Arabidopsis thaliana: one gene and its partner. The protein of the gene in region 1 interacts with the protein of each later gene in a biochemical or structural test. Each region holds a gene or a part of one and is shown in the gene's direction. Other genes may lie near its edges.

Region 1 (18,381 bases):
TCAGTTTTGCAATTCCACTTACTAGTTTGTTGATGTTAAATTCAAGTTAGTGATTTGAATTTGGATTCTCAGAAAAGAAGAACACAGTTTTTGGAGCTTTTGCTTGTAATTTTACATGAGTTTTAGCCTTTAGCTGAACACTTTTTGATTCCTTAATGGTCATCTTGTTAGGTGATGTGTTTGAACTTTGAACAGAGTACTTGAGATTAATTTAAGATTATGTATGTAACGTAGATTAGATGAACATATTTATACCAACATTTTATTAAAAAAGTAACTATAATCATTTTTCGAATTAGTAATTAATTTTATAGTTTCTTTAAGGTAATCATATATTTTACAATTTGTATATTAAAATTAGCAGATCAAACTCTGTTTTTGATAGAGAATAAATAAACTTTGTTTTTGATAATCTTTTCCCTTAGAAGTAAGGTCGGTTATTTTGACATCTTTAAAAATTAATTGTATAATTCTTTTTAGAAATATACCATTTTAAGAAAATAAGAATAGTTTTTTTTTTAAAGGTTTTTTTTTAGTTTTTTGTGAAAATTATATTTTCACATGTTTTTTTTCCGTAACTTTTTAATAGAAAATCATATATTTATTTTCTTATATATATAGATCGTCGATTAAGAATCTCGAACCCTTATAGCAAATTCGTTGCTCCTCTTTTTTTCTTTCTCTAACGCAGCAGCTTTGCTTAAATCCTCTTAGGTATTTATTGAATCTTTCTCCGTTGTCAGTGGAACGTGGCTTCCAAGTATTAGTTTTTGACTAAGTATAGTTCTGACTTTGAGATGTTGAGTTGATTAAAGGGTTTCTCGTAATCTTAAAGATGCTCGTACTGTTTGAGACGTCAGGTGGTTTTGCACTCTTTAAAGTATTAGATGAAGGAAAGCTCTCTAATGTTGAGGTTATTTACCTTATTCATTCTCTTACTTTCATTGATCTTAACCTTGTCTATATGTGTCGTTTGTTTTTAATATTCTAAGTATGTCAAATTTGTTCTTGTAGGATTTGGGTACTGAGTTCTACTCTGCAGAGTCAGCTCGAAGGATGGTTAAGCTAAAAGCTTTTCATAAGTTTGACAACACATCTGAACTCCAAGCAAGGGTCTACACAAGTTTTTGAAAAATAACTGTGATGATGGTGAAATCTTAGCTGTGGCTGATCCAAAGCTTGGAGATATCATCACAGAGAAACTGGTGTGTATTTTGTTATGATCTTTTACATATTTCTGTATATATATGGCTTGTGTCTTACGGATTTGCTTCTCTCCTCTAGGACATAGAATGTGTTCACAACGATGCTGTTATGGAGCTGTTACGAGGTGTGAGAAGTCAGTTAACCGAACTTTTATCCGGATTGGATGATAATGATTTAGCTCCAGTGAGCTTGGAATTGTCTCACATCCTTGCTAGATATAAACTAAAAATCACCTCTGACAAGGTAGTCATTGAGTTCTCTGTGTTTTGTTTTACCCTTGCTTATGTTACTTTTCCCCTCTCATACTTAAAATGTTTTGTTAGGTGGAGACCATGATAATCCTATCTATCAGTCTGCTTGATGATCTTGACAAAGAGCTTAACACTTACACTACGAGCGTTTGTGAATTGTACGGTTTGCATTTTCCCGAGCTTGCTAATATTGTACAGGACAATATCTTATATGCCAAGGTGGTTAAACTAATGGGGAATCGGATTAATGCTGCAACGCTAGACTTCTCTGAGGTAAAGCCTTATTTACCATTCTCCTTGACTTTTTGTTTCCATTAAACTATAGTTTTGTCTTTATGAAACATCTTTCTGTGTCCAATGTCATCTCAGATATTGGCTGATGAAGTTGAAGCAGAACTAAAAGAGGCTTCTATGGTGTCTACGAGAACTGAAGTCAGTGACCTTGATTTGATGCACATCCAAGAACTCTGTGACCAAGTTCTTTCAATCGCTGAGGACAAAACTCTGCTTTGTGACGACTTGAAGAACAAAATGAACAAAATTGCACCAAATCTAACTGCCCTTGTCGGGGAGCTAGTCGGTGCTCGCTTAATATCTCATTGTGGTAGTTTATGGAACCTCTCAAAGCTACCATGGAGCACAATTCAGATTCTTGGAGCTGAAAAGACCCTATATAAAGCCCTTAAGACCAAACAAGCCACTCCAAAGTATGGTTTAATCTACCACGCACCTTTGGTTAGGCAAGCTGCACCAGAGAACAAGGGTAAAATCGCACGTTCACTAGCTGCAAAATCTGCTCTTGCTATCCGGTGTGATGCTTTTGGTAATGGCCAAGACAACACTATGGGAGTCGAAAGCCGCTTAAAGGTATTCTTCTCTCCCGCCCGATCCTATCTACATTTTTCTTCCTTCTTTGATGGTCTAATTTTTTTCGACAGCTTGAAGCGCGCTTGAGAAATCTTGAAGGAGGAGATTTAGGAGCATGCGAAGAAGAAGAAGAAGTTAATGACAAAGATACAAAGAAGGAGGCTGATGATGAGGAAGAACCCAAAACTGAGGAGTGTTCGAAGAAGAGGAAGAAAGAAGCAGAACTTGAAACCGTGGAAGATCCCGCAAAGAAGAGCAAACAAGAGGGTGTAACAGGATTATTACTCCTGATGCTTTTAATTTCTCTAATCTATTTCTTTTCTGTTAACCAGTTGCTATGGTAAGCCATTAGCTCAGATATACAAAATTATGCGTGAGTAACACGTCTAGTTTCTTGACGTTTTGTTAGGATCATGTTGATACTCTTTCAAAGTCATTCAATTCAAAAACGGTTTCCCTTGTCATTTGGTTCGGTAGACTTGACAAAAAAAATAATCAGTTAAAGATGTGGTTAAGACCAACAAATATGTTCACAAGAACGTAAACATCAAGGTTCTGTCGCTTTAGACTTGATTTACAAGTGGATTTAAACATGATTAATTCACAAGCTAAACATCCATAAGAGTTGGATAAAAAAAAAATCCAATTCCATAAATAAATGAAAGAGAAAAGTGGATCAAAAACAAAATCAAATTTGTAAAAAGGTTATGTGGCTTTGAATTCCATAACCTTTGAATCACTCAATCGAACCTATTGAAATTGCGATGCTACTAAGAGCCGGACCATAACACATGAACATGAAACATTACAGTGGCCCCCATTCTAAAGGGGCCTCAAAGAAATTTTATTTTAGTTATATATACATATATTGATTTTTGATAATGGGAGAAAATAGTTAGTTTTATACATATAAATCCTAAATAACTGTGTGGTCCAAAATATTTGAGAATATTATTGTACTTTTGTTTTTAACTCCAGAATTTTGTTTAAATTAGTTTCTATTTACTCTATAATTTTTAAGATAAGAGTACTTTGTTTTCGTAATTTAAATAGGGCCCCGGATTTCATTGATCCGGCTTTAGGCTCTAGAAAATGCCTTATATGTATGTTGAACAAAAATGCAGAAACCTTGAGATATCCATGATTGATGTAGAGAAAGCTCTGATGCAAAAAGTGTCACGCTCAATATTTACCTTTTTTGTGTGTTTTAATCTTATATCTTTACTCTATTAAGACCAGAACACTCTGTTTGCTTGAATAACAAACAATTTAACAATAACCAAATATTTTGTCATTTCGACATATGTAAGGAACGTGAGTTGGTTTATACTCTATAAGGAAAAGAGTTACCAATGAACAATAATTTCCTAATTAAAAATTAGTAAACGTTAAAAGTATTTTTTTGTCATTCCGACATGGCCTCGTTTTTTTCCTCGAAAATTTAGAAATAATCATATTATTTTTACTTACAAAATACATATATATATATATATATAGATATATATAACTATAGTTAGAACAACTATATTGTCGTGAATAGGTAAATTTGGGAATCGTGATGATATATAATTTGGATCCGTAGATTGTAGGTGATGCATTTTTGTACCTAATCTTTAATTCCAAAATAAGTGGATAGCTCTATATGAAATTTGGCCCTACTTTATTTGACATGACCTTTTAAATATTTGAAAAGCCATGAGACAATTTATTTAATTTTCATAACCGTGATAATAAAAACAATTTGTTTGTAAGAACAATTACATAACAACATTTATCTAAATTATGAGTCTCGTCGGCGGTATGTAAAATATGTTAATATTATCCTTTTTCTATGTAATAGAATAATAGATTATCTTTCTTGGTTGGCACTAAATTGCACGTTAAATACTTGAAAACTTTGTATGTTGAAATAGTAATCCAATTTTAACGAAACTTTTTATTTTGTAAAGATTTTGATGGGCTTTTTAAAACAATTTCTACGACGTGGACAGACTTTGGAGTTTGTATGATTAATTAGATTCAGATCCTCACGTAGATTGAATAAACAATAACTCAATAATTGATCCTTCTCAAATTTTAATAAAATAAAAACATTTTTTAATAATAAAATAACAACATTACAAAATACCAAAATATGTAGGGTAATAGTTTTTGCTAATATAGTTATTATATTATTACTAAAATATAAATTCACATGTTAATATTTGTTGTTGACAAAAACAAAAACAATGATATTACAAAAAAACAAATAGGGTGATTAAACGCTAGAAGATCCGTAACCATTTTGATGACAAAAAGATATGGTACTAAGATGAACACGTTTTTGAGAATATTCAAAACAAATTCATTTCCGAAAGATTATCAATTTTCAAGCATACAGTATGATCTGGTAAACTATAAATGGTAGAACCACGATAATTAACTAGTCGATTCTATATGTTATGACATAGACTTAGCTAGGAGCATATCCGGCAGACCGGCACTAATCTAATGATTTCATGAGTTGTTATTATCTAAACTAATTAACAATTAATAGAATGAAATATAGTTTTATATTTAAGTTTTTTTTTTTTTTTTTTTTTTTTTCGGAATATCAGGAGGTTCTGGGCCGAAACCCGTAATCCCTTCAGGCCTGAAACCACAACATGTAATATTAGTTTCGTCCCAAACATCACTCGAACTAACGACCTCTAAGTTTCGCCTAGGATCTTTACCAATTGAGGTAACAACGCTTGGTCAAGTTTAAATCATTGTTGCTTTCTGTGAGATTTTGATCCCTATAACCTAATTTATCTTATGAGAAATTAACCTTTTTTGATAAAGGATAAGGAAAATAGTAACCTTGTATAAAAAAATTCATTGCCATTTTCATATATATATATATATATATATATATATCCTAAAATGTATATCTCTAATAAAATTAGAAGAAATGATACCAAAAATAAAGGTGAAATCATGATAAAATTTTGTTTTTTTTTGTTTTGGTTCATTGAGTTTGCCATTAACGCTTTTTTTTTATAAATAATTTCGTCTACACAAATTCATCCATATAATATTTTCTTTTACTGCATCAGAGTTTCACTATGTATTTAGGTTTTTTATGAATTTTAAAAAAGTTCAGCATCAAGGTGAAGAAAATTCCAAAAAAATAAATAAAACGGTGACCCAAAAAAAACTTGTTGTCTTCAAAACCAAAAGTACTCGACAAATCAAATAGATAAATCATGAATCTTAGTACAGTCAGGTTTTATCGTCTACGATAAGTTCCACAATAAATCCAAACACTAAACTGTTCAGATCTCAGATAGTAACTTTAAATCAACGGCTATAAATTCGCCATTTGTACTTTCATTTACACAACAGAGAATAATACATACACTCTATCTCTCTCCTATTCGTAACTTATATTTCTCTCTCTACTGTGTTTAGAAATTGGAATCTTCTCTCTTCTCTATCTCCCTCTCTCTTAAAAAGGGACCGTACACGTCTCTCTCTATTTCCAGTAAAAAATCGAAATTTCGTATAATTTCCTCAGTCCCGTAATTTTCTCCTTTTTTTTCTTCCCCAATTCCTTCAATTTTCGAATTCGCCTCTCTGTTTCGTTCCTCGTAGACGAAGAAGAAGAAGAATCTCAGGTTTTAGCTTTCGAAGCTTCCAAAATTTTGAATTTTGATCTTCTGGGCTCTTTTGTAAATCAGACTGAAGATATTTAGATTACCCAGAAGTTGTTCAAGGTAAAGCAATTCAGATCAGATCCACCAATTTTTTTTTTTTTTTTCATTTGAAGTTTTTGTGTTTGTTGTTTGTTGTTGGGAGATATTTGAAATCTGGGTTATTAAAGTTCCGACCTAATTTCATATTGTGCTATTACCAAAAATAGGAAATTTTGAGAATTTGGTTTTATGTTGTCATCATTTAATAATATTAGCCTTTTGTGGGATTTGTGCTTTTTGTTGTTTGTATCAAAAGTCTCAGATTTGGATTCACTTTTTGTGTGTTTTTTATAGTCAAAGCTGATTCATGCTATACATTACACAGCTTCACTGTTTAGTCTCAGCTCTGTTTTCTTGAAAACAGGAATGGTTTCAGTGGACAGCACGGAAAGATAAAAGAGACTTTTTTTTCCAGATTTTGCTGATCCAAAATCTGAATAGTTGTTCATGTTCTTGGATCAAATCTGGAAAGAGGAAGTTTGTTGGATCTAGAAGAAGATAACAATGTTGGATTCTCTAGTGTCGAAACTGCCTTCGTTATCGACATCTGATCACGCTTCTGTGGTTGCGTTGAATCTCTTTGTTGCACTTCTTTGTGCTTGTATTGTTCTTGGTCATCTTTTGGAAGAGAATAGATGGATGAACGAATCCATCACCGCCTTGTTGATTGTAAGTTCACTCAATTGAAAAGAGTAATTACTGAGTTCCAACTTGAATGACATTTGAGCTATTTGGTTGCAGGGGCTAGGCACTGGTGTTACCATTTTGTTGATTAGTAAAGGAAAAAGCTCGCATCTTCTCGTCTTTAGTGAAGATCTTTTCTTCATATATCTTTTGCCACCCATTATATTCAATGCAGGGTCAGTCTTTTTTTTTACATCCATTTGAGCCTTTTCCTCTATGTTGGGATATATCTTTTAATGTAGGACTTAGTTTGGTAGGGTCTCATGCTATATGATACGTTTAGTTGCACGGGTTTTACCTACAAAAGTTACATAAAACAGATTGAAAGAAAAAACTTAGTTTTGAAAAGTATGCATTATGTGATTCTAGGTGATAAAGTTAGTACAACGCTTTAAAGATGTTGATTAGTAAGCTTAAGCTCTACTTCTATAAATACCTGTCATACATCAACTTTTTCTAGTACTTGTGATTGTTATAAAGAAAAGAGGGCATGATGTCTTTTTTTGAAGTAGTTAGATTTATACACGTGCAAGTAAGTGTGGTCCTGGATTTGTCTTTGTCATGGATCTTTCTCAGATTTGTTGTTGTCTATTTCAGGTTTCAAGTAAAAAAGAAGCAGTTTTTCCGCAATTTCGTGACTATTATGCTTTTTGGTGCTGTTGGGACTATTATTTCTTGCACAATCATATCTCTAGGTAGGTTACTTCGCTTTACGATTGGCTGAAACACCGCTGAATGCGGCTTTTTGGATTAGGTCGAGATAGTTTTGTATATCTCTACTGATTTTCTGGTGGTTCTTGAAACAGGTGTAACACAGTTCTTTAAGAAGTTGGACATTGGAACCTTTGACTTGGGTGATTATCTTGGTAAGGCCTGAACTAATGGCTTCTTTTTGGTTCCTATTGCTTTACTTAATCGGGAGACTTGATTTGTTTTTGGTGTTTGAATCTCAGCTATTGGTGCCATATTTGCTGCAACAGATTCAGTATGTACACTGCAGGTAATGTGTTTTCTCCAACATGACTTAAATTACTTACAAACCCTGAAACATAGTGGACCGAAAGTTTCTGTTCCTGTTGTGTTGTGATATAGGTTCTGAATCAAGACGAGACACCTTTGCTTTACAGTCTTGTATTCGGAGAGGGTGTTGTGAATGATGCAACGTCAGTTGTGGTCTTCAACGCGATTCAGAGCTTTGATCTCACTCACCTAAACCACGAAGCTGCTTTTCATCTTCTTGGAAACTTCTTGTATTTGTTTCTCCTAAGTACCTTGCTTGGTGCTGCAGTAAGTCCATTGTTTTCTTCCCTGCCATTCTTTCTTGTAGCTGCTATATGCACGCTCTGGTGTTCACATCTTTGTTATTCATCTTGCAGACCGGTCTGATAAGTGCGTATGTTATCAAGAAGCTATACTTTGGAAGGTACATATTTAACGTCATATATGTGACTTGTTTTCTTTAAGTTGTTTCCTGTTTGGTCTAACGTAGATGGCCTCACATTAATTGTCACAGGCACTCAACTGACCGAGAGGTTGCCCTTATGATGCTTATGGCGTATCTTTCTTATATGCTTGCTGAGGTTAGATTCTTTTAAATAACACGAACATATTCATTCAGTTGCATTCAAACACAAATTATATTGATGTTATATTAATTTGGTTGCAGCTTTTCGACTTGAGCGGTATCCTCACTGTGTTTTTCTGTGGTATTGTGATGTCCCATTACACATGGCACAATGTAACGGAGAGCTCAAGAATAACAACAAAGTATGCAAACTTTAGTTTCTCCGCCTTTTGCTGAGATTAACACTTTCTACCTCCCAATGATTATCTTATGATTTTTTTCGATGAAACAGGCATACCTTTGCAACTTTGTCATTTCTTGCGGAGACATTTATTTTCTTGTATGTTGGAATGGATGCCTTGGACATTGACAAGTGGAGATCCGTGAGTGACACACCGGGAACATCGATCGCAGTGAGCTCAATCCTAATGGGTCTGGTCATGGTTGGAAGAGCAGCGTTCGTCTTTCCGTTATCGTTTCTATCTAACTTAGCCAAGAAGAATCAAAGCGAGAAAATCAACTTTAACATGCAGGTATGTATCATTCTACTTGGTACTAATAGATTCAATAATTCTTCTGGATTTCAGCTATTTATATCTATCATTTTTTCCCATTCTTTAGGTTGTGATTTGGTGGTCTGGTCTCATGAGAGGTGCTGTATCTATGGCTCTTGCATACAACAAGGTATAAAAAGAATGTCTTTAAATACTCTCTATGAAGCTTCAAATGACACAAATCATCATTTAACACTTGTTTCTATTGTAGTTTACAAGGGCCGGGCACACAGATGTACGCGGGAATGCAATCATGATCACGAGTACGATAACTGTCTGTCTTTTTAGCACAGTGGTAAGAAATCTCTGGATGATCAAATGAGTTACATAATATTTCTTAATTGAATTGGACATTTGGTTAATAGATTCTCTTGAACCTTGTTTTCAGGTGTTTGGTATGCTGACCAAACCACTCATAAGCTACCTATTACCGCACCAGAACGCCACCACGAGCATGTTATCTGATGACAACACCCCAAAATCCATACATATCCCTTTGTTGGACCAAGACTCGTTCATTGAGCCTTCAGGGAACCACAATGTGCCTCGGCCTGACAGTATACGTGGCTTCTTGACACGGCCCACTCGAACCGTGCATTACTACTGGAGACAATTTGATGACTCCTTCATGCGACCCGTCTTTGGAGGTCGTGGCTTTGTACCCTTTGTTCCAGGTTCTCCAACTGAGAGAAACCCTCCTGATCTTAGTAAGGCTTGAGGGTAACGTGGAAGAAAAGCTTTGATTTTTTTTGGTAGAAAAGGGTGATTCAAATTATGCTTTTGTGTAAATTATCCATTTGTAATATTGTTTGTGAGGACAGAAATCTGTCCTAACGTTTTGAGAGCAGAAAGCAAAACATGGCAACTTTGAAGTGTTTGATTGATGTATGTAATTATATTCATATTTGTTTTGTTGTAACACAAACTACACATTTGTTTATGTTTTGAATTTGGTTTTTGCTTCGAACTTGAGGATCGGATTGGTACGGTTTGGTTCGATTTCGGACAAAAATATTAATAAAGAATTATTTCTTTATGTCAAAACAAAAATTTAGTGAACCTAATGGCTAATGATATCAAAATTTGGTAGGTCTTGAAACTTATAATCTAACTAGATTTTAACCCGCGGTATACCGCGGGAACAATTTATTTTTTAAAGTTAGTATATATAAAAGTTTACAAATTGTATCTATTTATAAAATAATTTTATTTTATAGTTTACAAATGTTATTAAGTAACATCCTGCCAAACCCGTCCTGTAAAAAAGAAAACCATTTATTTTATTAATGTTGATCTTATTTATGATATGTTTATGAATCATTGTCTAAATATTTTGTAATTTTGTAGTAATTAAATGCTATCAGATTATATCTCTTCGCTTTGATGATTATAATCGAATTGTTATAGTTATGGAGAAAAGCAATATCAAAAATGATAATTTTGTAGTAATTAAATGATATTAAATATTTTAGAAGTATTATTTTAGTAAATAATCGTGTAGTTAATGTGGAGAGATTTTGGGAAGATTGTTAAATGTCAAATATTTAATTCGAAGATTTTCTTTTTAATTATCAAAAACAAACATTAAAATTCAGTGGCAGCCATTGTAAATAAGTCTCAACTACAAGATTTATTTCAAAAAATGGCTGCAAAAATGTATATATAGATAAGAAACGATAGTCGGTTTTGATAGGTATAAGATTAGCAAATATATTAGTTAGCTTAAATTAGTTAAAGAATACAAATTGAAAAGGTATATTACATTATTCGAATATAGTATCAAAACTTATATAACACAGAGATTTGATAATTTTTTAATTGTTGAATACTTTTTTGTGCTAATTTTTATGTGATTAAGATTTAATTGATTTCGTATATAAAATATTAAATTAACTTATTTGTTTATAATTTGGTAACAGATAGATATTTGAATATTCAGTATATTTTGCTTCAGTTTAGGAAATCTTTGATGATCCGTCTTTAAATCCAATAAGCCCTATAATCTAGATATTAAGCTGCAGTATACCGCAGGTAGGCTTATATTTTAGTTAAACTAAAATCTTTTATCGTAAAGATGATTTTAAAATATATGATATTATTTTATTTTATTTTATATGTATAGTAACTGTGAGTTCATGTATATGTTTTGTTGATATTATCTATATTGTTTAGTGTTTAAGATTATACACTTGTAGTTTGATTATTGTTAATTTAAGAGTTTCACCTGTAGTATTCCATCTTGTATTAATATCGATCTAAACCCGTCAATTTTAGGATTTTCAAGCTTTTATTAAAAATTGAATCACATCTAATATGTTATTAATTATTGTTGTATATAAGATTATAAATTTTCAATATAATATGTATGGAATTGAATATAAATATTTCTAATTATGACCCGTTACTCAGTAGAAAGTTTTCTTAAATCTATTTTTCACCCGTTATAATATTTTTTCATGTATTGAACAGTTTATATTTGTTTTTAAAAATTCAAATTGTGGCATATGCGAAATAACTCTAATTATTTTTTTATAATGATGATATTATTTTCCCGCAAAAATAAAATCATATAAAGATGAGAAGTGAACTATAATAATTAATAAAAAATTAATATGATAATTTAGATATCAGATATAGTTTGTTGATTTTAATTTGTTATTTTTTTGGAAATTAATAATGTATTTCGTTTTTTTAATTAAATCAAATTAATTAAAATTTAGATATCAAATGTTATATGTTGATTTTGATTGGTTATTATTTTTGGAAAATAATAATTTATTTCGTTTTTTAAATTTAATTAATTAAATTTAATTAATTAATTTAGTATTTGACTTTTTTATCCTTAAAAAGATAAATTAATTTACTCTTTAAAATTTTATTTCTAATGGCATACCTATGTAATTACTTACAAAAATTAAGGTTACATTTAAAATGTACTTCCCAAATAATATAGTAGGATATATTTGTTGCAAGGGAGACTACCATATTAAATTGTGAAATTTATTTCATTGTTCTAAATTTTAAAGAATAAGTGAACCAATTTCTTGAGTGTTTTAGTTTTGTCAAAAGAAATATTAAGTGAACCTAATGCAATAAAAGTTTGGTAGGTCTTGAAATTTATTTTTAATAGAATAATTGTTAGTTGCCAAGGAGAAAGCCATATTAACTTTTATGTTTTTTTTTGGTGATTAGTCGACGAGAGAAAATGACGTGAATTGAAATTGGAATACCTCGACTTGGAAGTTATGAGAGTTATCAAATATATTGTCATCTTTTGTACAATGATGGTGTAATTATATGTTCTAGAGGAAAAAAAATGTTTGCTATTTCATCTTATTTCATTAATAATATATATGTTATAAGTTAAACCTCAACCATACAAGCTCTATTTTCATGTTATTTTTTTTTGTCATCATATGTAAAATTCGAATAACAAAACCTTCGATTTTTTTTCTAAAGTTCTTTTAAACAATTTTATATTCTCTTGAATGAGAGTTTGCAAAAACATAGCAAAATCTTTTCTAATCTGATATGAGAAAAACGTAAACCATAATAAAGAGGATTCATGAGAGATCATTATTAGTAGCGGCAAAATATGATGTCGCCAATATTGTAACATCAATAGCAACAATAGAGAAAATACATTTTTATTTCTTTCAAAATCTCATATTCTTGGTATCAAAATTTTCTTACTTTTTTTCTTTTCTTTGATTTATTATCCCCTAAATTTTCTCAACAAATCTTTTATTTATTCTTCTCTCTCTTTCGTGATCTCTATCTCTTTGTCTTTCTTCATCTTTTTCGTTCACCTCTCTAAACTATCTCAATGCTTCTTTGATTCCATTGTCGGTTTCCTTGTACTCGTCAATTTCATGTTTTTTTTTCTATCAATACATGTGAAGTTTGAATAACAAAATCTTCGAAGATATTTGTCAAATTCTTCTACATCATTTAATAATTGTCTTGAATGCAAAACATATCAAAATCTTTTCTAGTCTGATAAACAATAATAAAAGAGATTCATTAGAGATCATTATTATCATCTGCAAAATATGATGTCGCCAATATTGCAACATCAATAACCAAAATTATGATTGTTGTTCGCATGACGATATGATTCAATACAACGATGCAAAAATTGTTAGTGTCGTTGGACTTAGTCATTAGACTGAGTCTTAGTAGTGGGAATAAGATGCTTGATTGTAGGAGTAATTGAGTTGTTGTTTGTTTCATCGTGTCAAAGTCCTCCGAGAAAGTAGGAGGCAGTTGTATTTGAGTTTTGGCTATTTAACGCCTCACAAATAATGAGAAAAGCAGAGTTGCAGTCTCACCATTCAGTTCTATATTCTCTGTTATTAACAAAAATCTCATCTTTTGTATCAATTTTTTTTTAATATTTTATTTTCTATGTTATCTCCAACCCTTCGAATCAAACAATGTCAATCCCTCCGCCTCCGCCCCTTTTTGGAACTTAATGCATCATTTTTATCATATGATATAAGTTTGTTGATGTATACCTGAAAAGTAATATCTTTTAAAGATTTAGGAAAATTGCTAATTTCGCATGTTTGGTTTATCATATGAATTCTTTTGTTTCCGGTGTAATCCGGATTATATATATTCTCATCTTTGAGATCAATAAATTTCGATTCACAGTAGGATCCTTCTATCGGTTTCATCCGGTTCTCCTCTCGCTTTAGCGGAATTCGATCTTACTCCATTTTCGTTCTCACCGGCTTTTCTTCAAAGATTTCTCTGTTTTCTCCAACTGATCGAGGAGTAATATCTTCATCGCTTCCTTTGCTCTAGACGCAAGAGCAACTTGGATTCAGATCTACATCAAGATGGGTATAGACGGTGGTGGAGCTTCCCCGGATTTGGTTTTTGACAGAAATTTTTTGAAGCTATGATGATCTCTCAATCCGGTAGATTCGATGCTTTTTTGGGTTGGATTCGAGATCGGACAGAAGGCAGGCCGATACACATCGATCCAGGATTGATTAGCGGCGGCTAATTGAAGATTTGGCGATGTCCGGCGAGCTCTTGACGGCGGTGCTACAATCCTCGACACGTAGTTAGGCGGAGACACGTCCTATACACGTGTTGTTATTTTGTTAATCATAATTTGTGTTTAATTATGGTTTAAATGGGCCGTTTTTATTTTCGTTGTATCCACTAGACTAACCTTCTGTACTACCTTTTGGGCTTTACTTAATGAAAATTTGGTCGACAAAAAAAAAAAAAAAAAAAAGCATATTTAGTTGGGCTAACACGTGATCAGCGAATCAGCCCTACAATAGCCCAAATATGTACCCAGTCATTAGATTAATGATCTCTCAAAACGGTGTCGTTTCAAACTGGACCACCTTATAAATACGGAAGAATTTCTATTCTGCCATGATTCGAAAAAAAAAATTCTATTCTGCCACCCAAAAAAAAAGAATTTCTTTTTGATTTATTTTTAAATACCAAAACAGAGAGAGATTACCAAATAACCTTATGTTTTCAGATTATTTACATAACCCAACCGCAGATCCACGGGTTGAACCGGATCCAACCCATTCTAAATGGATTTTCCCCAAAATTAAAATTTTTTAACCTAAGTAAAAAAATTGATTTCTCACTTCCGTCGTCGACTCCGCTCCCTCCGCACCAAACGCGTTCCGTCTCCAGCGATTTCAAAATCCTAACATCGTCTTTTTCTTTTCTCCGGCGACTCCACACTCCACAACGAGCCCCTCTCTTTCTCATTTCCGAGTAATTCACCGCCGTTACCTGGATCCCGTTACCTAACCGAACGTCGCGACTCCACACAACCGTTTTAGTTCCGCCGTCAAAACCGAACGTCGCGACTCCACACATCCGTTACAGTTCCGTTGCAGTTCCGTCGTCGTTCCAAACCGCCGGCGTTCCAAATTGTAAGTGTAGATTGGAACGGTTTTTGATTTTTGATTTGGTTCGGTTTTTGATTTGAAACATTAGAATTGGTTTTCGTTGGGTTGATTTGAACGGTTTCCTTGATTGTTGAGTGTTTTTGCAAGGTAATCATGGGTCGTGTAAGGTTAGTCACTCCTAGTTCGAGTGAAAGTGAAGACAGGAGGGTCACGATCATCCGTGAAGCGGATATGAACCGTGAAGAAGTTGCAGCCGAGGAAAACAAATTTGAAGACGAAAACTGTGAACAAGAGCCTCCGGAAAACCTTAACGAACCGGAAGAAGAAAAGATTTCTGAGGTATATACAAATTTATGAAAATTTTGTGTGAATATTGATGTAGTGTTTAGGGACAACTAGAAAACAATGAGTACAAGTTAATAGTATAGGTCTGTGAAATTGGTGCATGGATATACGTGATTAATCATACATTGGGTTGCATTAGAAAATTGAATTCTGAGAAAAGTTGATAATGTTGTTCTGAGATAACTAGTACAAGTAGTACAGCGAAATATTAATTTTATGGTTGTGTATGAATTTTCAGGAAATTGATGATGATGAACCAATGCCATCTCACGGGATGGAAGAAAACCCTCAAGAAGAGGAAAAATAAAGGGAAGAAGAAGAAGAATCTGAGGTAAATGGTTATTTCTGTAAATTGTGTTTGAATATTGAAAGTATTGTGTAGGGACAACTAGAAAACAATGAGTACAACTTAATAGTATTGGTTTGTTTGATTGGTGCATGCATGGATTTATACGTGATCAATCATACATTGATTTGCATTAGAAAATTGGATTCTGAGAAAAGTTTATAATGTTGGTATGAGATAACGAAAAATATTAATTTTATGGTTGTGTATGAATTTTCAGGAAATTGATGATGATGAACCAATGTCATCTCATGGGATGGAAGAAAACCCTCAAGAAGAGGAAAAAGAAAGGGAAGAAGAAAACCCTGAGGTAACATTAATTTCTGAAGATTTTGTTTGAATATCCATTGAAAGTAGTGTATAGGGACAACTAGAAAACACTTAGGACAACTTAATAGTATAGTTTCAACTTATGTGATTGGTGCATGGATTTATACGTTAACGTGATCATACATTGGTTTGTTTGATTGGTGCATTAATTTAATTGTATGATTGGTGCATGAATTTAATACGTATAGTTTCAATTCTGAGAAAGTTGATAATGTTGTTATGAGATAACTAGTACAAGTAGTACAGCAGAATATTAATTGTATGTTTGTGTATGAAATTTCAGGAACTTGATGATGAAGAACAACCTATGCAGCCAGAGAGGATGTTCTTTAGTCCAAGCGAATACGTGAAGACGTGTAAGATAGGGACGAGATGCACTGTGCAGCAGATAGTGAAGTATTTGGAGGAGTTTAAAGAAGATTTGCCATGGTTCAAGGCGCATCCACAGTTTAGGCATGTATTCCACATGCCTGAGGAGAAAAACCACATGACCCAAGGCTTGTGGATGCTTTTGCTTCGCACAGCACAGACAGAGATGGATAGGGAGTGCTGGTTTGTGGTTAATGGAGTGCCTATTAGGTACTCCATTAAAGAGCATGCGTTGTTATGTGGTTTCGATTGTCATGATTACCCGGAGGAGTTGCAGCCGAGTATGAAGATCGTGGATGCAGATTTGAAGTTTGCCAAAAAGATCTTTAAGAAGGTATCTGGGATTAAGATCGTTGATGTTGAGAAAAAGTTGGATGAATTGAAGAAATGTGGAGAAAAGAAGAAGACGGATAGGAAGAAGTTGGCTATCTTGCTTTTTTTGTGCAAGGTGATCGCGGCCAAGTCAAAGGCTGATGGAAACATTGACAAATTCTTTCTGAAGATTGTTGATGATGTGCGTGCATGTGAGACATTTCCATGGGGTCGTTTCACATTTGATGGATGTATGGAAGGTATCAAGTCGGTAATGAAATCGATGAAAGGGAAAGCAAAATTGCAGACTTGTTTCTCCGGATTTATTCTTCCATTAGAGGTAACAATTTAGAGTAATATCCATTATAAGATGCATTAGTAGACTTAAAAAATAATACTAATGTGACTTTTACTTTGAATGTGTAGATTTTGCCTTTTGAGGCTATTCCACATTTGGGACAAAAGTTTAGAGACCCTGTAAGGTTCGAGAATGAGTGTCCGAGAATGTGTAAGGCCAAATTCTCTAGTAGTCTCATGAAAGGGTTCTCGTTGGAAGAGATAAACGAGGAGCTTGGAAGTGTAAAGGTACGAGTTGTCCCAGTTATCTCTAGAGTTGTCCCAGTTATCTATGAGCTAGAATATGATTATTTTTGATGTGTGAATTTGTATAGGTTATCTCTAGCGTTTTGGAACCGGATTACGAGGAGAAAGATTTGTTGAGGCGGATTGTAGATGGTGATCATGTTGATGATGGGATAGGGTTTGTTGATCCGGTTGTCGATAGCTGGAGAAACCGTTTGATCAAAGAGAGGAAGAGAATCTTCTGGAAGGATATGTTTGAAGCGGATGTCCGGGCCCGAAGCGGCGGCGAGCAAATGGAGGAAGAGAATGTTCAGAGACATGTTCCGGATGTTCCGGGCAGCAGTAGCTCTTGCTCTTTGAAGGAAGCTATTGATGAAGGCTTTAAGAGAGTGATGGCGATGTTGGCGAAACACAATGAAAGGCTTGTGACCATTGAAAGGAGACAAGCCGGTGAGAGTGTGCCTCCATTTGAGAAGAAGGTCCATTCCGATGTGAATAAGGAGAAGGAAGATGGTGGTAAGAATGAGCCCGAGGCTGTTGAGACCGATGGTGTTGAGACCGATGGTGTTGAGACCGGTGGTGTGGAGACCCATGATGTTGAGACCGATGGTGTTGAGCCTGAGGGTTTTGTGCCCGAGTTTGTTGAACTTGAGGGTTTTGTGCCCGAGTTTGTTGAGCCCGATGATGTTGAGACCGATGGTGTTGAGCCTGAGGGTTTTGTGCCCGAGTTTGTTGAACCTGAGGGTTTTGTGCCCGAGTTTGTTGAGCCCGATGATCCGAGTTCTGCCATGGTTCTTTATGTTCCGCATGTTCCAATCGGTATGGTTTGTTTTGTCAATCTTTGATCTTTTTAATATATGATGTTTGTTGGTTATGAATGGTTGTCTTTTCTTTTGAAGGTGATGTTCAAGTTGAAAGGGAAGAAGGAAACGAAGAAGAAAGGGAGGAAGGGAAAGGGAAAGTGCAACGACAAGAAGAATGCGAAGAAGAAAAGAGACGAGGATCCTGAGGACGAGGATGAAGGTGTCAAAAAGAAGCGTAAGATAAATCCATCGAGATTCCAAAAGCCACCTTATACCGCGGAGAGAAGGAGAGGGATGAGAAAAATGTCTTGAAGACTTGTGTTTTTGTGGGAACGATTTACTTATGTATTTAGGATGGTTGATCTTGTTTTTATGGTATTTATGGCATTTAGGATGATGTTCAAAACAAAAGGTACACGTAGTTTATAGTTAGGTACAACTCAATTCTAAAAGAGGTACAACTAACAAATCAAAACAATGACAAATGAGGTCAAAACAAGTACAAATGAGTTCAAAACAAGTACAAGTGAGTTCAAAAAAGAGGTACAAGTAGTTTCT
Region 2 (15,443 bases), on another chromosome or scaffold:
CGTGGACCCTTATCGGCCGTGTGGAAAGGCCAAGCGCACTCTCCGGGACATTCCACCTCCGGGTTGCTTACCATTATGTACCGTCGTGGTTCTTTTTGACCTGCGTGGGATTTACGTAATGACGTCAAATTTTTCTTTTGTTTGTTGTCTAATACTACAATCTTTTAGAACAAACTAAAAAAGCTACAAAATTATGTAGAACCAATAATCTTTTTCTCAAGGGTAAAATAGATTAATGTTATGCAATTTAACGAGGAGAAAATCAAGACATACTTAAAATATATTTATTGTACTAGTGTCGATCTCTCACGGTGCCATATTAATCCAGGTTTAAATCTGAGAGATGTAGACGGAAAAAAAAAACGAAGAGAAAATCAAACCTTTAATTTTGGCTAGGGCGTTATGTTGGCAAGTTCCGTCACAAAACCCTACGCCATGAGCCCTAACTTGCGCCGAAAGTAATACCACGGGAACCACTTTCGACATATTTCCGATAGCCGTCTCAACAAGTTTCTCACCGTTCCCCATTGTCAATTCCTTTCCATACTTCATCTTCTCATCCACATAACTCCGGACAACCTTCACCTTAATCCTCGGAGCTACGGTTCTGTTACTCTTCTTCTGTCGGTAAATATCCTTCACCTCAAACCTCTCTTGGTAACTCTCCACCACTTTCCACCACGCCGATACCTTCGGGTCAAGACCTTCCTTGGCGTCGAAGTTAAGCGATTCTATGAAATCGTGAACCCTCTCCTTTTGAGTAGGCGTGAATTGGCCGTACCATAGTAAAGAGAGATCTAGGGTTCCGTTTGGGATTTGTGAAGGTGGCTCACGTGAAAGGCAGAGAGGCGCCAAGAGGAGGAAAATGATGACGGATATGGAGGAGGAGGAGGAAGAAGCAGACGCCATTGCCATTGCCACCGCGTGAAAAAAACTTTTTTCTGTTCTTTTGGCCTTTGATGGGGATTTTCTCAGGCTTTTTTGAGGGAAGTAAATAAAATTATCGTTTAACCTATTTTTTGACATCCTAAGCTGGTGATTTTGTTTTTGGATAATTGCCAATGAAGCAAAAGAGCTATTTTCAACCAAGCTAACTATTTTAAGAAGGGTGGTGAAAAACTCATAAGAACTTCCTTACACCTTATAAACACGTAATGATCAGCGTATAAAACCCAAAAAACAGTACATTAACGGTGACTATTTACCTTTTCATTACAGAGTTCACAATGAGAAATCAAATGAATGGGAAATATAGTTTTAAGTTAAATGAATTCGTACGCTGATGATGACCCTAGCTTCGGTTTGGTTTGCGAGGGTTAGACACAATCCGTGTCTTTGCAAAACAGCCATTTCAAACCTTTCTCATCCTTGTTAGCCAGCTTAGATGCCACTGACTTGATACCACTCTTCATATAATTCACAACAAACATCGCCACCTCTCTGCAAATTACAGTAAATTGTTGTAAACCATTATAGAGTACAAGAGAATCAAAGACTTGTTTTGTCTGTGAGTAAATCTCCTTACAAGGGTGAGCAAGGAGTTCGAGAACCGTTGATGAAGTAGACAAACAAGAACGCATCAAAATGATGTCGATTGATTAGATAAAATCCATGTAATCTCCGCACGCATCTGAACATCAATCTTTTGTACAAACAGATCGCAGCATTGTTGTGTGCAATCACATGAAGGTAAACTCCGCGACACACAGATAAACCGGAAGCATATTTAATTACCTCACTAATAAGTGACATTGCTGAGAGTTAAAAAAAGTTGCAGAAACATCAGAAATTATAAAACCAAGCAATATATAGAACATGTTTCAGATACTTATTAGTATTATAAGAGTCATGTACCGATTCCACGGTTTCTGTATGTTTCTACAACTCCGAGTGTCAAGATGTATATCAAAGTCTCCTCTCCTTTCGAGGAATCGTAATGTATAAGATCATCTATCTGTGCAAGACACAGAAACCATCTGCCAGCTGATGAAGATAGATAATAAGAAGATAAAAACAACACTAGACTCAATTGCATTACCAGAGCTCCCAAAACAGATTATTCAATCATAATTCAGACATTATTACAAGCCGCTGTTCTAAAGATTTTTGACAAGTGAAATAACTTTTATTTAGTGTACATGATCACAGACGAACCAAAAACCATAAGCATTATGAACTAGTTCAACATTCAAGGTGATTACAGGACCTGAAAGATCATTATTGTTCGAATTACAAAAAGACGAATTCATAGAATGAAAACTAACCTCGCTATCTTTGGCAAGCACAAATTTGGCAGTAACAAAACCAATAAGTTCATCAGAGTGATCATCAGGCCGGCTCCGATCAACAGCAGCCCATGAGACGATATCAACTCCGTTCACAACACTCTGGAAAAACTCAGACTCATACCTGACAAAACAAAAATCAATACTTTAGAAATCTTTTCACAAGACACCAACATAGGAAAATCCAAGTAGATGGATGCATACTTGATGGGGAAGATATCGCGATGGATTTGCTCCAAACGATCTAGATCATTAGGGTTTATAGGTCTATAGTGAATACTTGGGCAAAGAGAGATTCCTGCATCTTCCATTGATGAATCATCTATGAATCTTCGAGGAAATCGCGACATTGTTTGGTATCCGAAGAACCAGAAAAGCCACTTCCCATTGTGAAGTGCCAGATCACTGGATCCGACCCGTTGAAGTAAATGGATCCGGATAGATTTAACGAATCTGGATCTGAGTGGGTTTGTTTGGATTTGATTGGTTAATCTTCGGCGAAGGAATCAATCAAGAACCGAGTTTCGAGCATGGGAAAGAAAAAGGTGCTTGCTTGCTTTGCCCTCTCCTCTGTCTCTTGGGGCTTTTTCTCGTTCCAAGTGAAGCATCTTGGCTCGTGTGCTTTGCGACAACCAATCACGTGCCTCTTTTAGAAGGAGAGTACTAATGTACTATTTATGAATGGAATATTCGATTCTCTTAAATGAAAAATTGTTCCATTTTCAATAATATAACCATTTTTAACAATAAAAATTCGTACTGTTTTTTCTATCTGAAAAAAATGGATTTGAAAAAATTCGTACTTTCGATTCATAATCTGCTTTTTATTATTATTCGTTATAAGTCTGTACTATGGTAAGAGAACCTTAAAATATTCCCCTCCACAACAAAAAATAAAAATCAAACTGGAGAAGAGTTAGGCAGTAAAGGAGAATTTCCTTGCCCTATTAACTCGATTAGGCGGGCCAATACACTTGTTATGTGTTTTCCACTTTTCTTCGTTACAAATTTAGATTAGTCTTACATGATGAGCCGTTAGATATCATAGAAAGAAATAATCTTATAAAATTTGATAAGATTTCTATAATCCACAAATCTGGATCGATGTTTATTTCAGATTTATAAATATTGTCTTAAAAAAAAAATTATTGGCCGTCTCGGCGGCAAGCAGAGAGAGAGAGACTCAACGTTTTCGTAACAACAAAACTTTGAGTAGCAGAAAATTATCCAAAAAAAAACGTGAAACGCAAATGGAAAAAATTGAGAAAAGTAACGCGAGTCCAGTGCCACGTATGAAAAAAAGAGCTTAGGACCAGATACGTTAATCAGAAAAAGACCAGGTACGTACGTTAATTAATGTTTTTTTAAAAAGGCCAAGCACGTTAGTCCAGCCCACGTGGTATTTCTTATCTTAACAACAAAACTAATTTTTTAATTTAATAATCGGACGTTGCAGAGGTAATCAGATCAACGGTAGAGATTACGACACGTTATATCACTCTGCGAAACTCCACCGCTTTCTGGAATTAAAAAAATCAGAGTGTATAAATAAAAGAGCAGAGGTAAAAGCTATCTCCAGAGTTTAATATAAGTGTAGACAGAGAGAGAGAGAGCTTCTTTCTTCTTCTCTTCGTCGCTAAGAGATGATCTTCGAATATAAATCTCTGTAAGGTTTGCGAAGACCGGAGTAGTGAATCTCGGAATTGTTGAAGAAGACGGTACACCGGAATCAATTGCGATTTTGATTTATGGGAACGGTTTGCGAATCTGTAGCGACGGCGAAATCTTCGACGGCGGTGATGAGCTCCATTCCGCCTTTTCTGAGCAAAACGTACGATATGGTTGACGATCCATTGACGGACGACGTGGTGTCTTGGAGCAGCGGAAACAACAGCTTCGTGGTTTGGAACGTGCCTGAGTTCGCCAAACAGTTTCTACCAAAGTATTTCAAGCACAACAATTTCTCCAGCTTCGTCAGACAGCTCAATACTTATGTGAGTGAACTTCGATCGATTCTTTTTTATTTGTTTTTCTCTTCATTGATTCGATTTTCTTCAATTTCGTAGTTCGATTTTAGGGAATCTTACTTTATGTGCTTCATTTTTATTTTACTCTCTTGTTTTTTTTGTGGTTGAATTAAGCATTAGTTATTGATAAAACTCACGAATGATTTAAGGTTGCAAGAAGGTGCTTTGAGAAGTCGACTCCTATTTAGTGTATAGTATGATGCTACTGATTGATGTTCCTATATAGTTGTTGACGCTGGTGGTTGAACTATGCACGTCTAGTAGGTTGTGTTAATGTTGATTTTAGTTGCACTAACTGTTAAGATTGGATCTTTTTGGGTTCTGACAAACTCGTGCAAGATAATTTCACATATTTGTATTGTTCTTCAGTTGTTTTTTGTACATGTATACCCTGTGAACTGCAGGCATATATGTTTTTGTTTTTCTAAGTATCTGAGCTTGCATCCGTGTCTGTGAGGCTGGAATGAATTTTCTTAGGTCAAGCAAAACTAACAAGTGTATACTCTTGCGTAGCTTGTTCCTCCCCTGTTCTTATTTACTTACCAAAAGGTTCCACGAACTTTGCAGGCTTATTTGGACATGTGCTCATATGTGTCTGACGATTGGTTGATTCAGCACTTCCATTTCTGGCCTCTTAAGTCACAAAACAAAATTTCTATCAGTTGTCCCATGTTAGCTTTCCATTCGTTTGTATTTGTCCGTCCAGGTACATGCCGATACACTAACAACTGTATTAGTTTCCTTGGACCATGGTAGTTTGGTGCTGCAGCTAGACCCAGTGAACGTATCATACCATATCTAGAATAGTTGTTATTAACGTATTTAATGGTCTTTATGTTTATACAAATCTTCTATGTTGGCTTCCTATTGCAACGGAATCCAAGTAACTTCTTGCGGTTGATGACTGTTCCATTCTCCATGCTTCTTTTTTTCAGGGTTTTAGAAAAGTTGATCCAGACCGCTGGGAGTTTGCAAACGAGGGCTTTTTAAGAGGCCAAAAGCAAATACTAAAGAGTATTGTCCGGCGAAAACCTGCACAAGTGCAGCCTCCACAACAACCTCAAGTTCAGCACTCATCTGTGGGTGCGTGCGTTGAAGTGGGCAAATTTGGACTCGAAGAGGAAGTGGAAAGACTTCAGCGCGATAAGAACGTCCTTATGCAGGAACTTGTAAGGTTGAGGCAGCAACAACAAGTTACCGAACATCATCTGCAGAATGTGGGGCAGAAAGTTCATGTGATGGAGCAGAGGCAGCAACAGATGATGTCCTTTCTAGCAAAGGCTGTCCAAAGTCCAGGTTTCTTAAACCAATTTTCTCAGCAGAGTAATGAAGCAAACCAACACATTTCTGAAAGCAACAAAAAGAGGAGGCTACCTGTTGAGGACCAGATGAATTCTGGCAGTCATGGGGTTAATGGTCTTAGCCGCCAGATTGTGAGATATCAGTCATCGATGAACGATGCAACAAACACTATGCTTCAACAGATACAGCAGATGAGTAATGCACCTAGCCATGAATCTCTCTCAAGCAATAATGGTAGCTTTCTTTTGGGCGATGTTCCAAATTCTAACATTTCAGACAATGGGAGCTCCTCAAATGGATCACCTGAAGTTACATTGGCAGATGTTTCATCCATTCCTGCAGGCTTCTATCCTGCAATGAAGTACCACGAGCCTTGTGAAACAAATCAAGTCATGGAGACCAATTTGCCTTTTTCTCAAGGTGATCTCTTACCTCCAACGCAAGGAGCAGCAGCTTCTGGGAGCTCAAGTTCGGATCTTGTTGGATGCGAGACAGATAATGGAGAGTGTTTGGATCCAATAATGGCTGTTTTGGATGGCGCACTCGAACTAGAAGCTGATACCTTAAATGAGTTGCTTCCTGAAGTCCAAGATTCTTTTTGGGAACAGTTCATTGGTGAGAGCCCAGTGATTGGTGAGACAGATGAGTTAATCTCAGGATCAGTGGAAAATGAACTGATATTGGAGCAACTAGAGTTACAATCAACCCTGAGTAATGTGTGGAGCAAGAATCAACAAATGAACCATCTTACTGAACAGATGGGACTTCTCACATCAGATGCTCTCAGAAAATGAGATTGCCACAGGCCACAATCTTTCCTCACGAGGTAATCAGTCTATCTATATTGATATGTTATAAACCACACACTTTCCAAAATTTAAATTTTGTGCAAAACCAAACCCCTCGTCTTTGTCTTGTTATCGCAGATGGGTTAAGATTTTGTGGAGCCGCAACAACAAAAAGAATATGACCAAAGGAGGTACTATGTATGTATGTATCAAACTGTTGTAACTCTAATTCTTGTCAATGTATAATAAAATAAGAGAAATATTGCCTTAAAAGATTTTTGCATTGCAATATCTTTGTTTGTTACTGACAGAATGAAAAGGAGATGCTTCAAAGTGAGAGATATTCTTCTGTTCTTGTGTATGTCTTTAGAGATCCTTGTTTATTTTTGTTACATTAAGTGCAAAAATTGGCATTTTGGTTAACCTGTGGCCAAATCTTACCTGCTTTAGTGTTTTTTTATCAGTCCTTCACTTTTAGTTTCTTGAGTAAAACTAATGTTCCAATTTCGTCTAAAGGAAATCATCTAAAGAGAGAGTAAAAAGGAAGAACGTGTGTCGTGTGGATATAGTAACAAAGTGGTTTAAAAGGATCAAGTCATTGATTACACGGAATCAAAGTGTATGTACATGCATATGTTAAGCTCTGAAACTGCAACCGAACCAGATCCATTTGTCGTTTGTATCAATCTTAAACTTGCTTTTAACATTACATACAACATTACATATGATATTACCATTAGTTGTAATTTATATAGCTTATATGATATATATCTATTTCTGAAAACTATATAAATATTTTACATATGATAAATTTCACAGATATCTCATGGATATATTGCTTTAAAAGAGGATATGAACATTAATAAACATGTAATTTGTTAAAAGAATTGATAAAGACCATATATTAAGGATAAAATAGTTACTCTGAAAGAAAATTTGAACATTCATGCATGCAATATATAACGTATGTCGAACACTCGATTCATATATAGCTAACAAATGTCGAAAATATTATCTTCTTTAAAATACGAATCAAAGCTATAACATTTTTCTATTGTCAAGAAATCTTTTGGCATCCATTTCTACAAACCAGTTCCGGTGAATTAACGCTTAGCACGACTGTTTTCCCTCCACCGAACAACCTTTGACCGTTCCAATAATTGGTTCAATTAATAATTTAATTTAAAAAATTTCGTATTCCATCCACAATCATTTATTTGATTTAAATAAAATAAAATTTTTATTCTCTTGCTCATTAATAAGAAAATCAAAATCTTTACTCGTTTGAAATTTGTAATCCATTACCTGTCATCGTTGACTTGTCAAGAAGAAACAAATCAACTCTAAAAAGAAAAATGTTGTTCATCGAAATCGAAGCTTGACAGTATTCAAAATCAGATTCGAGATGAGCTGCGACGGAGGCAAACCGGCGCCGGCGAAACTAGGCGACGAACAACTAGCGGAGCTCCGGGAGATATTCCGATCATTTGACCAGAACAAGGATGGAAGTTTGACGGAGCTCGAGTTAGGCTCACTTCTAAGATCTCTCGGTCTAAAGCCGAGTCAAGACCAACTCGACACATTGATCCAGAAAGCAGATCGGAATAACAACGGACTGGTCGAGTTCTCCGAGTTCGTCGCCCTCGTCGAGCCAGATCTGGTCAAGTGTCCTTACACGGATGATCAGCTTAAAGCCATCTTTAGAATGTTTGACCGCGATGGAAACGGTTACATAACGGCGGCGGAGTTAGCCCATTCGATGGCGAAGCTAGGTCACGCGTTGACGGCGGAGGAGTTAACGGGAATGATCAAAGAAGCTGATCGAGACGGCGATGGTTGTATTGATTTCCAAGAGTTTGTTCAAGCGATTACTTCAGCTGCGTTTGATAATGCTTGGGGTTGAAGAAAGAAAGGTATATATATACATAGTTTGAAATACTTGTGTTTTGTTTTTTTGGCTTCATCCTCAAATCAAAGACATTTGGAAGTATATGTGTGTAGGTGCGATTCCATGGAAAATGTGTGTTATTTATTGTTTCATATTATTCTTTGATGAAATTTTGATAGCTTGAAGAGAAAGCTATCATTGTTGGTTTTAGGGCAAGAAAACTTTGCTATGCGTGTGAGTCACTTCTCCACCCGTCGCTTTAGCCACTTTAGTTTATGGAGATAAAGGTCTCTCAATATGCAAAACAAAAGAAAGCATCAAAACTGACTCTTTATCTTTATATGTATGGGGGATAATCAGCAAATATCGTATGATTATGATCTTCTAGTAAGACAATTGCACAAATTCATGTAAATTCGAAAACGATCCCCAATAATGGTTAAGGAGAAGGGAAAACAAATTTGTCACCGAGATATGTCAAATGATTTGTGAATCCAAGAGTTATTACATAGATTTAGCCCACATGTCTTCTTCAACCAGTCCTGCACGAGTTACATAGATTTAGCCCACATGTTGCTAACAACTAACAATCTTTGAGTGTATACGCATTCATTGACTATGCTAAATGCTAGAACTCAGAATAAACAAACATTTGAAATGGATATTACAAGCAGTATTCCCGGAAATATATAGTAATTGGTAGCACGATATACAGTGACATCAATACTATTTTAGCAAACGACCACTAACTATAGCAAGAAGTGAAACACTTATGCTGTATATTTTGATTAGCTGTTGCGCAGGAATTAGACTCTCCTTAGGACAAAATCAGTCAAAATCAATTCGTAGCTTAAACGCTTCAGTTTATAGATACAATAGACAAAACAAAGGAGAGCATCAAAACTTCATCTTTAAAATGTTGTGGATAATCAGCAAATGTTGTCATATGATTATCTTCTAGTAAGACAATTGTACAAATCCATGTAAAATGGAGTTATCTACTCAGAAGAAGGGAAAACAGATTTGTCACCGAGAAATGTCGAAAACTTGGGAGCCAATTAGCATGCTCTCCTTTCTGCCAGAGTGTTGGTAATGTCGAATCCAAGAGTTATTACATAAGCTTTAGTCCACCTGTTACTTCATCAACATTATCAACAGGTCCTGCACAAGTAATAGACTTATTAAACAATTGCACTTGTAACTACAATTTGTGATATAACTCATCTCTTCTCATAGATGATAATAACTTACCAAGAATAGCCATTACTGTCCTTGAATCTGGAAAAGAAGAGAACAAGTAGGCATATTAAGTTTTTCTATTAATGTCAGACTAGGGTTAAGCAGGAGGATTCCAAATAACAGTAACTATAGAAACTCACTTGGAGCGATCTGTGTTTTTCCCGCATCAATGGTGATATGGGTTGGCAGTTTCAGGGTCTTTGCTCTTTCCTGTCGGTATCAACAAGATTGTTACACTCTTCACATAGGAGGATCTTATGACTTTTTCTTCTTCTCTTATTCAATACCTAGGAAACTGCAATCTTGCAAAGGGCAAGTATATTTACGTAGCACATGTTCAGTAAACTCACTTGCAAAACTAGCATCTCTTCCTCACTTTCAATTTTGACAACAACTTTTGGCTGAGCACAATATTCCCATCTGCAAGAGCAATAAGTAACTGTTAATTCCATCCGTAGCCTGAAAAAGAAACATAGAATTGAAGTAGAGTATGAGATGGTGTGGCATACCGCATACCTACCTGTTCAAGGCTTTTGGCGCCCGTTGAAGGAGTTTCTTGTATAAACCTAAAGTTGCATGACTACATATAATATGCAAAACAAGAGAAAAGGAGTTGTTAATTGAATTCAAGAAATGCAATTGAAAACTGAAAGAGGATTGATAATCACCTGCATTGAGCTGCAATCTTCCCTTTACCCATTTTAAGATCATTCCTCACAACCAAAACCTACACAGACAACAACAACAACAACAAGAAGCATTTATATCAGCTACTGGTATCTTGGTGCAATACAAAGACAAGGAGGCAGAGTGAGGCTAGGTACCATTTTGAAATTTTTGCGAAAATCAGCGAGTTTCTCTATCTCGAGGGGTTCCTTGGACTTGGTTTTCTTATTCCCGCTGGATCCTGCATCTATGGCGACAGATTTGGAGGAGAGAAAGATTCGGCGGGTTTGTCGTAAAGTGCTGATGTAATATCCAAGTGCAGCTCCAACAAGTAAAACACTTAATAACCACACCAAATCCATACCTCCTACAAGAATTAGCAAACAAAATTCACAACTATCATTAACTCAAACAATGTTGAATCAATGTGGTAACTAAAATCAGTGTTCTGATAAGAAAATAACATAGTAACAAATTTTGGGAATCTAAAAGTGAATTAAGAAACTAGTGCATTAGTACTTGTTTCTCTCGGAATCAAGTAAAAAACATAAGCTAGTTTTAAACATACAAAAGCTGTGTTGGAGCTATTGAATCGATAAAAAAGCTACTTGACGATTCTGGGGTTTCACCAATAGGGAATTTAAGTAGACAACAAACTAATAAGCATTATCAATTGTAGAAATAAATCTACGAGGGACGGTTAATGGAAGATTCGTTACCTTAAAGTCTTCCGGCGGCTGAGCTGTGACAAGTCTGTTTCTTCGTTCAAGTTTCAACGATTTTGGCGATATTCTGGTGTTTGGCCACACGAATAGGTCTCTCCTTAATATGTTTAAAAGTGTTGTTCCCAATCTTTTTTATATCGGCAAAATTTGGGCCTTTGAGATGTTGAACGGCCCATTTTCATTTTTAAAAACAATTACTTTCTGGCATTTTCGAAATCATATTTACTTTCCTTATTATTGTTTTTTTTCATAAAGCAAAGGAAATTGTTTTTGTATAAAAAAAGTTGAAACCAACAAATCCAAGACTCGTGGTTTCTTCATGCCATGGAGATAAAAAAAAAAGAAAGAGTCCAAATATTCCTTTAAAGTTAACGCGTCTTCTCACTTGTCGTACGGCATTGACCTCCTCGTAGATTATTTTTCTTCTCAATTAAAACCTCTGTGTCACAGTCTCAAAATCAGTTTCCTACTCGCGTTGTTGTTCTTAAGTCATAAGTGTTAGGTTTGAATCAATCGCTCTAGTACCAGTGGAACTGTTGATTTGCTTAGCGAGAAGATGGATCTGAGACCCTGAAGATGATCTGGAGTTATCTTGGTCCGAGCAGTTCATATGTCCTTAACATCTTCGGGGAATGTCAAAACCATTTTATAAACACAAAATCTTCTTCTTCTTCTTCCTTTCTCTCTCTCCATAATTCTTGTTTGCGTCATTCATTCATCACATATCCACATACCACAGAGACAGAGGAATCGTCCTTTATCAGAAATGGCAGGCAGTAATCTTCTCCAAGGTATACTCTATTTATTCTTCTTCTTTGATGGTACTACTATTTGATCTGATCTATTTTGAGTTCATTTTTCTCTAGTTTGGACCTGGAATCAGTTTCTCTCTTGTTAGCTATTTCTCTCTTCTCTATTGTATGAAATCAAATCCAAATCTATTTTGCTCTTGAAGACAACCTAAAGCTTTCACCTTTCTCTCTTCTTTACATTTCAATAAAGCTCATTGAGCTATTTTGCATTTTCAGTCTCTTCTAATAAGCTCAATGAGCATATATCTATTTTCAGTCTCTTCTAATTAGCTGCAACAGAGCCAGCCATATGATTCTTGTTGCTACTAAACCTAAAGACTCTCGCGGAAGCAGCAGCGATGAGATGATGATGAATGATCTGGATGAGATAATATTTGGTGAGAATAGTTTGGGTCATTCTTCATCTGCCTCTGGAAATGATCAGAAGAAGCAGAAATCGTCTAAAAACAATGAGCTCATTCACTTGTGAGATGTGTTTTGTTTTTCTTAGTGGATTTGGATTGGTGTTTAGTCTTTGGGAATATGCATCAACAGTTGTTATGTAAGTAAACTAAAATTAGCAGCCTTGTGGGATTGAAATATATTTAGGGTGTAACCTGTATATTTCGCTGCTCTGTTTTGGTGTTATTAATTTATCTAAGTGATTAATCGTTAAGACTTAAAATTATATCAATATTTTAATTGACAAAATATCTCCAAATTCCCCTAAATTACGCACTCCGTCCCTCTCTTCTTCGACTCATTGAGGAGTTGCCCTAATTTGTAGTGTTAAGAGTTGTGCGAAAATTTGCATTTTCAATGTTGTTGGTGTTTTCGGTGTCACAGCCTCAAAATCAATTTCCTACTCGCGTTGTTGTTGTTGTTGTTAAGTCATAAGTGTTAGGTTTGAATCAACCGCTGTAGTACCAGTGGAACTGTTTTGATTTGCTTAGCGAGAAGATGGATCTAGTGAGCAGTTTACCAGACGATGTTCGTTGTCATATACTGTCCTTCCTTACCACAAAGGAGTCTGCTTTGACATCTGTTCTGTCTAAGAAGTGGCGGAATCTGTTCACGCTTGTCCCTAATCTCGACTTGGATGACTCTGAGTATCTTCATCCGGAAGAGACTAAGTGGGAAAGAGAAGAAATTCTGGATAGCTTCTTGGATTTTGTGGAAAGAGTATTGTCTTTGCAGGGAAATGGTCCCATTCGTAGGTTCTCCCTCAGGTGTGAAAGCGGTGTTCCTCCAGCTCGTCTGAATCGTTGGTTATGTAAAGTGCTGCAGCGTGGTGTTGCGGACCTTGAACTTATCATCGACTTCGAAGATGGTTATCTTCTGCCTCGAGAGTTGTTCGTCAGTGAGACACTCGTCAATCTCAGGTTAAAATCTGAATTTGGTTGTATTCATTGGTGGCCTGGAGCTGAAGGCACTTTCTTACCAAGGCTTCAAAGTCTTGATATAAGCTCTGCGATGGTTTTTTGTGATGATAAGCTTCAGAAGCTTCTTCCTTGTTTCCCTGTGATTGAGGAATTACGGTTGGTAGGTATGGAGTGGATTGATTCTCATGTAACCGTGTCGTGTGCAACCCTCACTAATCAGCTACTTCTTAGCTCCACCGGTTCCAGAACCTCTAAAAATCCAAAGAGCGTTTCTTTTGATACTCCAAATCTGCTTTCCCTAGCCTACTCTGATTTAGTTGCTGAGGACTATCCGTTGGTTAATATGAAAAGTTTATTCAAGGCTCGAATCATCCTTGGAGTAGATGACGATCAAATCGCCCGAATGCGAGCCCCAACTAACTATTTGTCAGAGGATGATGTTGTTCGCCGATTTGGCAATGTGGTGAAGCTCATGAAGGGCATACAAAATGTTCAGCAACTTCACTTGCATTCTGATACACTCGAGGTTAGTTTTCCATTTTCTTCTTTCTGGTCTAGTTGTAATGTATTGATTGCAAGATGATTTTAGCTGCGTTTTGTTTCTTGTTTCAGGTGCTTTCAATGTGCTGTGAATCGATGCCGGTGTTCAACAACGTCAAAACGTTAGGCATTAAGAGTGACTACGACAGAGGATGGCAAGCAGTGCCTGCTCTTCTAAGGAATTGTCCACATCTAGAAACCCTGACCTTTGAGGTGGAACTATAAACCATGAAACTAACTACTTGGACAAAACATGCAGTTCATTCTTATAGTAACCTTATTGTCTCGTTTCTGCTTTCAGGGTCTCGTGCACCATGTGACAGATAAATGTGGAGATGCTTGTGACTGCATTTTCCGGAAGGATAAAGGCCGTTCGCTCAAATCTTGTCCAGTAAAAGTGGTAGAGATTAAAGAGTTTAGAGTAACAATGAAAGAGATGCACCTGATAGAGCATTTCTTGGACAACTTTCCATGTTTGAAGGAGATGAAGATCTATAGAGAAGAGTATGATCCTTCACCGTTTGGAAACGACCCTCAAGTGGATGATCTTATCTTGGACATGATAGAAGAGTACAAGGATATATATAGTTGCAATGTCCAACTCTTGGAGCCGTGTGACAAGTGGGATGAACAATGAAGTCTTTGAACAAAGTCCCCCTAGGAATTTGACTTATCAGATCCGATCCTTGTTTTGTTTTAGTTATCTATGTGTATCTTTTAATCACACTATCCTCGGCTCGGCTAGACTGATTGCCACACCTATTTTGCTTTAGTCCTTGGAAACTTTCTGATTGCTTTTGGTTAATTTTCAAGACTCTGAATTACGTATTGCTTAAGGGTTACTGATTTTCATCCTCTGACTCAGTCTTGTGTGCATTTAACACTCTTTGCATCTGATCACTTGTTGGTTTCATTAGATCTTGCCGATATCAAATTATAAAACATTTGAGTAAATCTTGTTGTTGTTGCATCAAGCAGTTATCAGGAAAAGTGGTGAACATGAAGCTTCCTTCATACGAGGAGGTCACAGTAAATGGTGAAAGGAAGTCGTTGGTAACTTTCTTAACTTGGTTTACATGATGGTTAGAGCAAGTCGTTTAGAGTGGGTTTTACTTTTTCAGTTGCATAATATTTTCATGTTGGGATTGAAATAAAAGTATAATCACATGTATACAAAAACCAAACAGTATAACACGTCAAATCACATTAGAATAATTAATTAAATTTTATCGATAAAAATCACCAAAATACCAATAAATTCCGCACTCCGTCTCTTCCAGTCTCAGTCAGTCGCTATTCTCTCATCGACGTTTCATTGCCCTAATTTGAAGATTGGCCTCTGTAGCAAGGTATGATGTTGCTCTCAGTCTCAAAATAAACAATCTCTCTGCTTCAATTTCGAGTGGAACTGTTTGGTTTGGGAAATTGATTTCTTTGCTTTGCGTTGTGTATTTTTTTCTCTTCAGAGAAGATGGATCTGTTGAGCAGTTTACCAGACGAGGTTCGTTGTCTTATATTGTCCTTTCTTACCACAAAGGAGTCTGCTTCCACATCTGTTCTGTCTAAGAAGTGGCGTAATCTGTTTGCACTTGTCCCTAATCTTGACTTTGATGACTCTGAGTTTCTTCATCCGGAAGAGGGTAAGCGGGAAAGAGACGGTATTCTTCAGAGTTTCATGGATTTTGTGGATAGAGTATTGTCTCTTCAGGGCAATTCTTCCATTCGTAAGTTCTCTCTCAAGTGTGAAACTGGTGTTCCTCCAGCTCGTGTGAATCGTTGGTTGTGTGAGGTGCTGCAGCGTGATGTTTCA

What was found.
Region 2: the proteins of NHX1 (region 1) and AT3G03000 form a complex in vitro, tested with the Arabidopsis thaliana proteins (one study listed by BioGRID).

The regions. Positions count from the first base shown.
Region 1 is NC_003076.8:9,547,707-9,566,087, forward strand, and holds NHX1 (Na+/H+ exchanger 1), read left to right. Parts: upstream 1-5,593; 5' UTR 5,594-6,061; intron 6,062-6,404; 5' UTR 6,405-6,544; coding exon 6,545-6,709; intron 6,710-6,781; coding exon 6,782-6,900; intron 6,901-7,321; coding exon 7,322-7,419; intron 7,420-7,530; coding exon 7,531-7,590; intron 7,591-7,677; coding exon 7,678-7,724; intron 7,725-7,816; coding exon 7,817-8,011; intron 8,012-8,100; coding exon 8,101-8,147; intron 8,148-8,237; coding exon 8,238-8,304; intron 8,305-8,390; coding exon 8,391-8,491; intron 8,492-8,580; coding exon 8,581-8,821; intron 8,822-8,909; coding exon 8,910-8,972; intron 8,973-9,053; coding exon 9,054-9,137; intron 9,138-9,230; coding exon 9,231-9,560; 3' UTR 9,561-9,888; downstream 9,889-18,381. Other genes in the region: AT5G27140 (NOP56-like pre RNA processing ribonucleoprotein), read left to right, coding at 836-913, 1,015-1,059, 1,113-1,205, 1,285-1,449, 1,530-1,730, 1,827-2,324, 2,396-2,668; AT5G27170 (uncharacterized protein), read left to right, coding at 18,301-18,366. UniProt on the Arabidopsis thaliana protein: Acts in low affinity electroneutral exchange of protons for cations such as Na(+) or K(+) across membranes. Can also exchange Li(+) and Cs(+) with a lower affinity.
Region 2 is NC_003074.8:669,581-685,023, forward strand, and holds AT3G03000 (EF hand calcium-binding protein family), read left to right. Parts: upstream 1-7,659; 5' UTR 7,660-7,807; coding exon 7,808-8,305; 3' UTR 8,306-8,600; downstream 8,601-15,443. Other genes in the region: EXL6 (EXORDIUM like 6), read right to left, coding at 1-100, 381-915; MCC1 (MEIOTIC CONTROL OF CROSSOVERS1), read right to left, coding at 1,317-1,440, 1,526-1,754, 1,855-1,954, 2,265-2,409, 2,490-2,635; HSFA1E (heat shock transcription factor A1E), read left to right, coding at 4,034-4,279, 5,248-6,408; AT3G03010 (Peptidyl-tRNA hydrolase II (PTH2) family protein), read right to left, coding at 9,402-9,451, 9,542-9,568, 9,670-9,739, 9,880-9,949, 10,050-10,109, 10,198-10,256, 10,354-10,557; AT3G03020 (uncharacterized protein), read left to right, coding at 11,497-11,700; AT3G03030 (F-box/RNI-like superfamily protein), read left to right, coding at 12,672-13,619, 13,706-13,846, 13,935-14,270; AT3G03040 (F-box/RNI-like superfamily protein), read left to right, coding at 15,105-15,443. UniProt on the Arabidopsis thaliana protein: Potential calcium sensor that modulates ion selectivity of NHX1.